Linked DNA regions of Kluyveromyces lactis. The protein of the gene in region 1 interacts with the protein of each later gene in a biochemical or structural test. Links are inferred from orthologs where the notes say so. Each region holds a gene or a part of one and is shown in the gene's direction. Other genes may lie near its edges. The genes, in order: PHO85, PCL1 and PHO81.

Region 1 (3,118 bases):
CACCAAGAACTTTGAGTATTTCTTCTTCAAATGGATATACTGGTCCTGGAACAACACTTTATCCACGACAACGTCATGCATTACCCGTTTCGCATACCCATCTTTGACACCTTTCGAATGCTTGTATGCTGTTTGTAATAACCTGAAAGCAGTTCTTACCACCCGTTGTTTTGGATCGAAAAGAAGCTCTTTTTGCCCTGCGAAAGGGATATAATGCACCGATAGCTGGTGATCATGCAATAGAATCCCTACTGCAGCCACTTGTGGGATATAAAACGGACATAACTCAGCATTATCAAAATGTGGGATGTAAATTACTAAAGAGGTTGAAGCATCTGAGTTGGAATTCATAACCAAACACGTCTGATTAATGATAGCATCCTTGAATGGATTCCTCGGAACAATCCTCCTAACAAATTGGAACTTTGTGGTAACATCAGCCAACGCTATCGGTACAGATCTCGGTGCTAGATCATCGATGTTTACTTTCAATATACCCTCATCGCTTCCCAACGCGATGTCTTTCTTCTCTGATTTCACACATGAACCAGACTCTAAGTCGTATTCATTGTCTATAAGCATATCTGCACGTAGAATAACAGTCGAGTTTACATTAGGCTGCCTTATCACATTTAGCATAGCTTGTTCGAAATGTGATTTATCGAAGTCGACAGGTTCCGCTGTCGAATATAAAGATTGCCATTCTGGTCCCAAAATACTGGATTTCTCCACGGTATAATGAAGCGTATTCGAGGTCATATCAAACTTACGTCAACTCTACCTGTGCACAGTCTATATGGTTCTCTATATCCTGGTATTCCATCGAGTTCTTCGAGTCTGCGTTGAAACTGCTTATTAGTTGATGAATCGATGCCCTCTTTAAATTTTTCACTTCGAACGTTACTCATGCTCTAAAGGCACCAGGAATTCGAAGCAACATACAAGATATCTTCCTGCCTTTAGCCATATAACCACTTGGAAGTTGTTCAACATGAATATTATTATTTACTACTGTAAATGAATGGATAAGATTTCCAGGTATTAAAGCGTAATTGTGTATTTACTCCTGTCTAATATTAGAAGATCTTCAAGTAGACTTTTGTCACTGGCATTATAATTAGCAAGTACAGGGGAAAGAAGAGTTTTGAAATGGTACGCATATATAATTAGGTAGTAAACTATCTGAGATGGACGCCACAACTGCCAAACCTCAAATATTTCTGTCCTCTTCTAAGTTACTTCCTTCTGTATCCACTATTTTATTCTAGATAACACCATTCTTAAATATTTGAAGATTTCAATTCCTATTTGAATCATTATCTCTTGAACAGATGTAAAAAGAGGATCCGATAATGGTTATATAGCTCTCAGGACCATTCCAAGGATCATCAATAAACATAAACTATGGTGGCACCATCTCAGTATGCAGTTTTGTGAATATTTGATACTGGCAGCGAGGAGTACAAAGCAGATGAGTACTTCTCCTTACCACTATAACTCTGACTTTTATACTAACGCAGCAATCGTTTGTCCCCTCTACTACGCTATGAAACCAGATTCAAGCAACTTGAAAAGGTTGGTAACGGTACGTATGCTACCGTGTACAAAGGATTGAATAAGACGACTGGTGTATACGTTGCTTTGAAAGAAGTGAAATTGGATAGCGAAGAAGGAACTCCGTCAACGGCCATTAGGGAGATATCGTTGATGAAAGAGTTGAAACATGATAACATCGTGAGGCTATTCGATGTGATTCATACTGAGAATAAGTTGACGTTGGTGTTTGAATTCATGGATAATGACCTTAAGAAGTTCATGGACAATAGAAACAAGGGAAATTCTCATAAGGGCTTAGAGATGGATTTGGTGAAATATTTCCAATGGCAGTTGTTACAAGGTGTAGCGTTTTGCCATGAGAACAGGATCTTGCATCGTGATTTGAAACCTCAGAACTTGTTGATCAATAACAGAGGTCAATTGAAACTTGGTGATTTTGGGTTGGCTCGTGCATTTGGTATCCCAGTTAACACTTTCAGCAGTGAAGTGGTGACTCTTTGGTATAGGGCTCCTGATGTGTTGATGGGGTCAAGAAACTATTGCACTTCAATCGATATTTGGTCATGCGGATGTATCTTGGCTGAAATGATTATGGGGAAACCGTTATTCCCTGGTTCCAACGATGAGGAACAGTTGAAACTCATATTCGATACGATGGGTACTCCAGTGGAGCAGACATGGCCGCAAGTGACTCAATTGGCTAAATACAATCCACTTTTGCCTCCACATATGCCTCGTGATTTGAAACAGCTATTACAAAACAATACGGAGGAAGTGTTGGACGATAATGTAGTGGATCTATTGCATGGTCTATTGCAACTGAACCCAGATGCAAGACTTTCTGCAAAGGATGCCTTGAACCACCCATGGTTTGCAGAATATAACCATGCCAACTAACGATTTTAGATTTAGATAGCCTTGCTCATCTAAAGATACAAACAAACAAATAAATAAATAAATAAGTGTATAGTAATCTGTAACCATTCCTTTTACTTTTTATATTACGGATTTATTGAATTACGTTGATGCTAGGCTGTCCTCCATATTCCATAATAAGTTTCATAACATGTTTGTCCTTAACGTCGACCAAGGTTTCCCATAAGACGTCCTGAGACAATAACAATGGTCTTGTTTCTTCCAACTTGTAGAATTTATTGATGAATTTGTTCAGGACACGTATTCTCCTTCTACTAAACGCCTCTTCGTCAGTATAATCGTCTACTAATAGCAACTCATGTAACTGCTGACCAGCAGGAGTCAAATATATGTTGTTGATTAGTTCGATTAAGGGTCCATTATTATCCAAGGATTTAGAAGGTAACACCGATGAGATGTGAGTTACCAAGATAATGGCATGGAATAAATGGTTGATGTTATATTGACCTTGGTTAGTATGGAAAAACCAATGCATTAAGGTTTCTATGAGGAAATAAGGCTGCTTCACCTCGTAGTGGACGGATAGTTCAAGTATCAACTGGTTGTAAACTGGTTTCTTTAGTTGAATATCGTTTTGGAAAAAAAATTCTACCTCCGAGTAAAATATTGATGGATAATCCTGTTT
Region 2 (2,768 bases), on another chromosome or scaffold:
ACAAAACGCACTAAGAAGAATCATAGAACGGTACACCAAGAACACAAGATTCTGTATCTTGGCTAATTATGCACATAAGCTAACACCAGCACTCCTGTCAAGATGTACCAGGTTCAGGTTCCAACCTTTGTCCGAACAAGCCATCGAACGTCGTATTGCGAATGTGTTAGTGAAGGAACACTTGAAATTAGACCCTCAGGCACACGCAGCGTTATTAAGGCTCTCTTCCGGTGACATGAGACGAGCATTGAACGTACTACAGGCAGCAAGAGCTACGCTAGACAATCCTGACACAGAAGAAGTCACCGAGGATTTGATCTACGAATGCATCGGTGCACCTCACCCACGTGACCTTGAAACCATGCTGGAATCAATTCTCAAGGACGACTGGACTACCACTACATACACCGTGAACAAAATCAGAATCACAAAGGGCTTAGCACTTATTGACATGATTGAGGGGATCGCGGGCCTACTGGAACAATATGAACTGAAACCTCAAACCAGAATTGAACTTCTATCTAGACTAAGTGATATCGAATATTCGATCTCAAGAGGTGGTACCGATTCGATCCAGACCAGTGCAACCATCGGAACGATAAAACAGTGCATGGAATTAGAGGTGTGACAATGTATGCACACAATAAGTAAACTAGTCAGACGTATACCGGATCTATATACCATGTGACATGCTGCGACTGCGAAATCACGAAATAGTGTAACTTTTTCTTTCCCGTTTTTTCGTTGATTTAACGGTGTCGAGAGAGAAGCAAAACGCGAAGTTTCGTCTCGAACGAAAAGAAGTTTTAACGGATACGGTACTTAATGCATGTATAGAGTTTAGATATGGGTAGATTTTCAATGGGGACCACGAAAAAAAAGTGTCAGTTTTATAGTTTTGGAAATTACATTACTTGATTGTGTTTTAATTAGCATTTTTCTTTCCTTGGTCGTCTTGATAACTGATGCAGCTTGAAGTACGGTTAGATCAGAAGGACAACGGGTGAATTGGATTCTGAAGATCACGAAATAAAATTACTATTCCAAGATCGCATAGTTTTGGGTATCAGGTACCACCGCATTGATGTATTTACTGTAAGTAGACAATGGCAGCGTGCCTTTTTTGGCGCATTGATAAATGTGTAACCTGGAGACTCGCGAAGGTTCAAACATATATAAAAGAGAGATTAGGATCGGAAGGATGAAGCATCTTCCAGTACTGCCTGTCATGTTAGGCACAATTTTGGGAGCATATCGTAAGAGCCCAACAAGCCTATAAAGTCTAAGCATGTTCAAGAAGAAGAGTTTGGAAATTCTGTTCGATTCACCAGTGAGCGATGATATGATCAAATTTTTAACTGATCACGCTTTGAGAGTGATTCCTACACAGAACAGAAACCAAAGATACCCACCTTCACCACCGGGCACTCCATCCAGTAAGAACCACAATGGAGTACCCAGTCTAATGACGTTCATTTCGAGATTAGTACGGTACACGAACGTTTACACATCCACGTTGTTGACCACCGTGGTATACCTAAACAGATTGAGGGAGTTGTTGCCCTCCGATGCAGCTGGTCTGCCTACTACATGCCATAGAATTTTCCTAGCCTGTTTGATTCTCAGTGCCAAATACCACAACGATTCCTCCCCATTGAACAAGCATTGGACCAAGTACACAGATGGGATGTTCACCTTGCGCGATGTGAACCTAATGGAAAGACAACTGTTACAATTGTTTGAATGGGACTTGAGAGTCGAATCTGAAGAGCTATGGGACAACTTGTATGATTTAGCCAACCCAATCAGAAGAGATTTGGAGAGAGGTGCCCAGATCAACAAGACGAGACAAAGAGCCAAGGCTCAAGCTCAACAGAAAGCATCTCAATTCTACTACCATCAACGCAACCTTTCTGCATGTTCCAGCACTGCTACACTGCTAGGGAACAGCAGGAGTGGATCCATTAACAGTTTGGATATACTGAAGGAATACGAATCGTCATCGTCGTCGTCATCATCGACACTGTCATCTCCGACATACACCGAGGAAATGAACTACAAGAAGTATACGATGGATCCTCGGTACTATAACACTGTACGGCCGGTACAGCACACCGACCCTACAATATACACATAACAGTAGCTTTTAAATATAATAGTGCTAGATAACAAGGGGTGTGTGTGCCCTTGGTCACCTAGCATGGCTCATCGCATTAGGCGATGCCCTATAATCAATATGGAAACGGATTTCTTTACATCTACTGTCCCGGGTAACTTTTCCCAAGCAAAAATTTTTCACTTCCTAAATTTGTATAAATAGAGGCAGGTCCTCTGCACTAAGTACATATATTACTTGTTAATGAGCATTTTACAGATATATATGAAGCTGAAAAGAGCAGGCAACAACTACCAACATCGGGCGATGTTGGAGTTAGTGTTGAAGGCACATCAGTAACAAGGTCGCGATAAGTATATTGCGTCTTGAGGTTCCAAAGACGAGAGAAACGCTGTGCACCAGTCTGAACGTGCTAAAATGTACTCTAGCACTCTGAAGCATTAAGTATACCCAAATTTCTGAGGAACGTTTACTGAGAGGCCTGCAAGTTTGTATTTAAGAAAACTGTATTTAAGAAACCGTACTAGGAGCAACGGCCTCGCTAGAGGCCGTTTCTTTGATATGATAGCCAATGTCACGTGATGCCAAAAATCCGTTCCATACAAAATATAAGAAAAAGAGTATCACGTGATGGTACACCATCACGTGACGT
Region 3 (4,227 bases), on another chromosome or scaffold:
CGGGGAAAACTATAAGTTGATGTTGTTGAAAATTCTTGAGTTGGAAGAAGTTGACTTGACTAATGACGACGAAATTAGTGATATTCTCTCAAAATTCAATAGCATACAAGAATATCTACAAGAGGTTAAGCAATGAAACGCTTAGAGATGATTAGGTACACGGATTGCCGATCATTTTGCGTTATTGAAGGGTATTCGGTGTTACGGTTCGTGCTTCTATAGAAACTAAAACATACCTTTCATTTGGCATGTTAGTCTGAGGAAACAACTTTGAAAGGAACGGTGGAAAGTAGTTTACAAGATGCGAGCTTCAAGATACAGTGAAATCATATCTCATCATTATGCCGAAATGCTCCCGAAATCTATGACATTGTGGAGTTACGAGTGGCATACAACTTAATTCAGTTTAATGCACGTGGGAAACATAATAGGCAAACTTTTGCTGCATGGACAAAAAAAAGGAACTTTCCGTCTTCGCTCTCAAATTAATACCAATCAGGCATCCCGTGAAGGCATCAATGGCAAGCACAAAAAAAGAGCCCAAATAAAAGTTTGTTGGACAACGAATTAGCAACGTTTTTCACTGATATCTTAGTCCTTTCATCGTGCGCTCTCTTTCTCCTTCCCTTTTTTATTAAATTGACATAGCAGTATTTTTCGAGCTTATTTCTCTTCTTTTTTTGGGCTTTTTTGTTCATTTCAACAGAGCGTGTCAAGAAGACTTTAAGTAACAAAGTCACAACGGCTAGAAACTGTAGCACAAAGAAGGTCACGTCAAACAAAAACAAAAAAAATAATGAAGGAAAATAAAGCAACTACGAACAGAAAACGATGCACCTTAGGATTGTTCTGTATGCCTGAGTGCGTGTGGTAATGATTTTGGCAGAGGATTTCAAGTAAGTTATGAGACGGGTGCTTATAGGGGGATTGGGGGATTACAGGAATTGTCATAATAATTGAAGCACAAGTAGAATACAGAATTGAGAAAAAAATTCACGGGAAATGATTCATTTCTTTGTTCTGTTGTTTGTTACCTGAGAGTATTATTTTGAAGAACACAGTTGCAGAGACGTAAAAGAAGAAAAACAAAAATTCACATTGTGTTTTGAAATTAATATAAGTATAAGGTAGTTTTATTCAGGTTTGTTCTTAGCAAGAAGGAAAAGTAGAAGTAGGTGTTGGGAACGTTTCAGTCCGTGACTTGGAACCTCTTTCAGTGCTTTTCCATTAAAAGCTTGACTTTAATATTGTACATCACGACTGTGCAGGAAATCCGGTCGAAACAGTTGGGATGAAATTTGGTAAACACCTTGAAGGGAGACAGTTAGAACTTCCGGAGTATAATGGACATTTCATCAATTACAAGGCTCTAAAGAAGTTGATTAAGCAACTATCTGTTCCAGCAGTTTCATCTTATACAAATTCAAATGATTATATGACATTGGATGAAACGGATGAGTCGATACGGTACCAAAGTTTACAAGAGAATAAAGCATCTTTCTTCTTCAAATTGGAAAGAGAATTGGAAAAAGTCAACGAGTTCTATCTCGAGAAGGAAGCTGATCTACGTATGAAGTTCGATCTTCTAAATTCCAGATACTATGAATACAAATCGAAAGGAAAGTTGACTTCGAAGAAATCTATTGCGTATAGGACTATAAGAGATGGTATTAAGAAGTTTGAAAGAGATTTGGCACAATTAGAACAATTTGTAGAGTTAAACAGAACAGGTTTCTCTAAGGTACTAAAGAAATGGGATAAAAGATCGCACTCGCATGCGAAAGATTTTTATCTCGCAACAGTTGTCTCTGTACAGCCAGTTTTTACCAGAAATGAAGTATCCAAATGGAATGATGCAGTGTCCTCATTATTAATCGAACTTGACGAACTAAGTGATAATGATGATGTCACTGGACCCAATTTCTATGGACCTGCAGGACAGATTTCCCGGACGATATCACGTAACTCAGAAAGTGGTCCCTCAATGTCAAATATCATTGCTCCGAAGCCTGAAACACGTACATCAGTCAGTTCAGATAAATCAACTTTTCTCATTAACTTCTCACAAGGAGCATCAAGTAATGCACATCATTATTCAACTTCCAGTTCAACAGCTGGTTTGTTTGATATAGAGTTGGAAATTGAATCATGGTATATGGAAGTGTTGAGCATCAGCAAATTGAAAGATGTTGAACCAAGAAAAACACATATCAGAACTTTCGTCGAAACTAAAGTACAATCCTTTGTAGACTCACATCTATCTGCTACTCGCATTGATAAAAATCTGGTTATAAGAGACAGCATCACAAAGATTTTCAACTTACTATTGGCTAGCAGCATTGACGATGAATCCTTAGAAGTGTTCTGGAAATATGGGAATGAATACATTGATCTTACATATAGTGATCCAGATGATGATCTAGTTTTTGCTAGGCATAATATGTTTCACGAAGCGGCTCTGTGTCCTCATCAACCGCGTACGTTTGTTCTTTTGGCAGCACTTTATCAATATCAAAACTCCATTATACAGCAAGAGGCATTTCGTAAGTTACTAAACGCTCAGGACATTCATGGTAGGATGCCACTGCATTATGCCTGTGAACTCGGCAAAACAAATTTCGTGTCTCTATTGATAAACACGGAACTCATAGATAATATTGATCTTTTGGATAATACATCTAAAACTCCTTTGGTTCTTTCTATTATTAATAATCACATTGAAGTCACAAAAATACTTATCGCACAAGGTAACGTCAATTTATCCCCATCTTTGTGTGAAGGCACTAAGCCGCAATTCCATCCACTTAATGTGGCTTGTTCAAACAAAAATTATGAAGCAGCTAAAGTTATTCTAGAAAAGGGTGACATAAATTTATCTAGATTAAGAGATTCCCAAGGTTTATGTCCTTTGCATATTGTGGCAAAAATGGGCGGTGGATCAGAATTGATAAAACTTTTGGTTTCTTATGGTGCGGATCCAGATGAGATTGATGGGTTCAACAAATGGCCACCAATTTTCTACGCAATTCAAGAAGGACACGCCACCACCGTCCAAGTATTATTAGAACTAGGTGCAGACGTGTTCATGAAAGATCAACAAAACCTCTCGCAAGTTTTCTATGCATTATGGGAAGGACATCTTTCTGTATTGAATGTACTTTTAAGCTATGCTGGAAACCGCAAACGTTATAGCGCCTTCCCAGATAGACCACTCGCTGGAAGTTTGAGACCATCAGATCCCGGGGAACTTTTTTCTGACGATCAACTGTCCCTGAATGATTCATTAAAGGATATTCCAGATTTCACCTTACCACCACCAATTATCCCTCTAAGAAAGTATGGTCACAATTTTTTGGAAAGAAAGATTTTTGTAAAACTCTCTTTCAAGCCAGGAAAGGAATCAATCACGCTCAACAAGGACGACGAAATGATGTTATCCTCACCTGGACGCATCACTCTTACTTCTAGTGTATCGAATATCATTCCAAGAAATATTATTTTGCCTATTCAAGAAGAGGACGAAAAAGACATTGTATTCCAGATAGATTCCCTAGATACTTTCGATATCGATATTGAAATATACCCTTCTTTCGGAACAAGACTCATAGCAAAAACATATGCTCTTTCTGATGTTTTCCACAAAGCTTATGAAAGTACTTGTAACAACCATCATTTAACTTTGCCCTTATTCGACACCAGATTGAGAAATGTTGGTAAATTCGATGTTGACTTTGAAGTAATCTTCCCATACGGAGGAAAATCTTTGGAAGTCACTAAATATGAAACTTATTGGAAGTCCACAAGTGGTGGTGGAGCTAACAATAATAATACGTCGTTGTCCACATCTTTGCAATCCATTGTAACTGCATCATCTTTAAATGGAAAGTATTGTACCATTGGTGTTATACAGTTAAACGATGGTACTTTGATTGCAAGTACTAGTTTAATCTGTCATGCTGGGGATGTGCCGTTACTATTTAACGATATGAACGCAAAACAGCTAAACAGCATGCTTGATCAGCAGATATCTGATATTCCAGCCAATATAACCTCCAGGCTAACATTGAAAACTCTTTTGAGAGACAGATATGTCTTATTTGAGGATCTATTAAATAATGTCGACCCACAAATTCAGCTCAACATAAAGGTTTTGTTCCCAACAGAATCTGAGATACAATCTATACCAATGAAAGTTTCTCCTAGATACAATTTGAATTGTTTCATAGA

The links.
Region 2: the proteins of PHO85 (region 1) and PCL1 form a complex in vitro, tested with the Saccharomyces cerevisiae proteins (4 studies listed by BioGRID, with this or other methods). The link is inferred for Kluyveromyces lactis from reciprocal best matches to the Saccharomyces cerevisiae genes PHO85 and PCL1.
Region 3: of the proteins of PHO85 (region 1) and PHO81, one has a biochemical effect on the other in vitro, tested with the Saccharomyces cerevisiae proteins (6 studies listed by BioGRID, with this or other methods). The link is inferred for Kluyveromyces lactis from reciprocal best matches to the Saccharomyces cerevisiae genes PHO85 and PHO81.

What each region holds. Positions count from the first base shown.
Region 1 is NC_006040.1:1,022,231-1,025,348, reverse strand, and holds PHO85 (cyclin-dependent serine/threonine-protein kinase PHO85), read left to right. Parts: upstream 1-1,404; coding exon 1,405-1,421; intron 1,422-1,556; coding exon 1,557-2,454; downstream 2,455-3,118. Other genes in the region: TRM44 (tRNA (uracil) methyltransferase), read right to left, coding at 1-759; KLLA0_D11968g (uncharacterized protein), read right to left, coding at 2,567-3,118.
Region 2 is NC_006041.1:1,168,851-1,171,618, forward strand, and holds PCL1 (Pcl1p), read left to right. Parts: upstream 1-1,288; coding exon 1,289-2,137; downstream 2,138-2,768. Other genes in the region: RFC3 (replication factor C subunit 3), read left to right, coding at 1-628. UniProt on the Saccharomyces cerevisiae protein: G1/S-specific cyclin partner of the cyclin-dependent kinase (CDK) PHO85. Essential for the control of the cell cycle at the G1/S (start) transition.
Region 3 is NC_006041.1:1,401,649-1,405,875, forward strand, and holds the start of PHO81 (Pho81p), read left to right. Parts: upstream 1-1,291; coding exon 1,292-4,227. Other genes in the region: KLLA0_E15665g (uncharacterized protein), read left to right, coding at 1-136. UniProt on the Saccharomyces cerevisiae protein: Inhibits the kinase activity of the cyclin-CDKs PHO80-PHO85 and PCL7-PHO85 under low-phosphate conditions.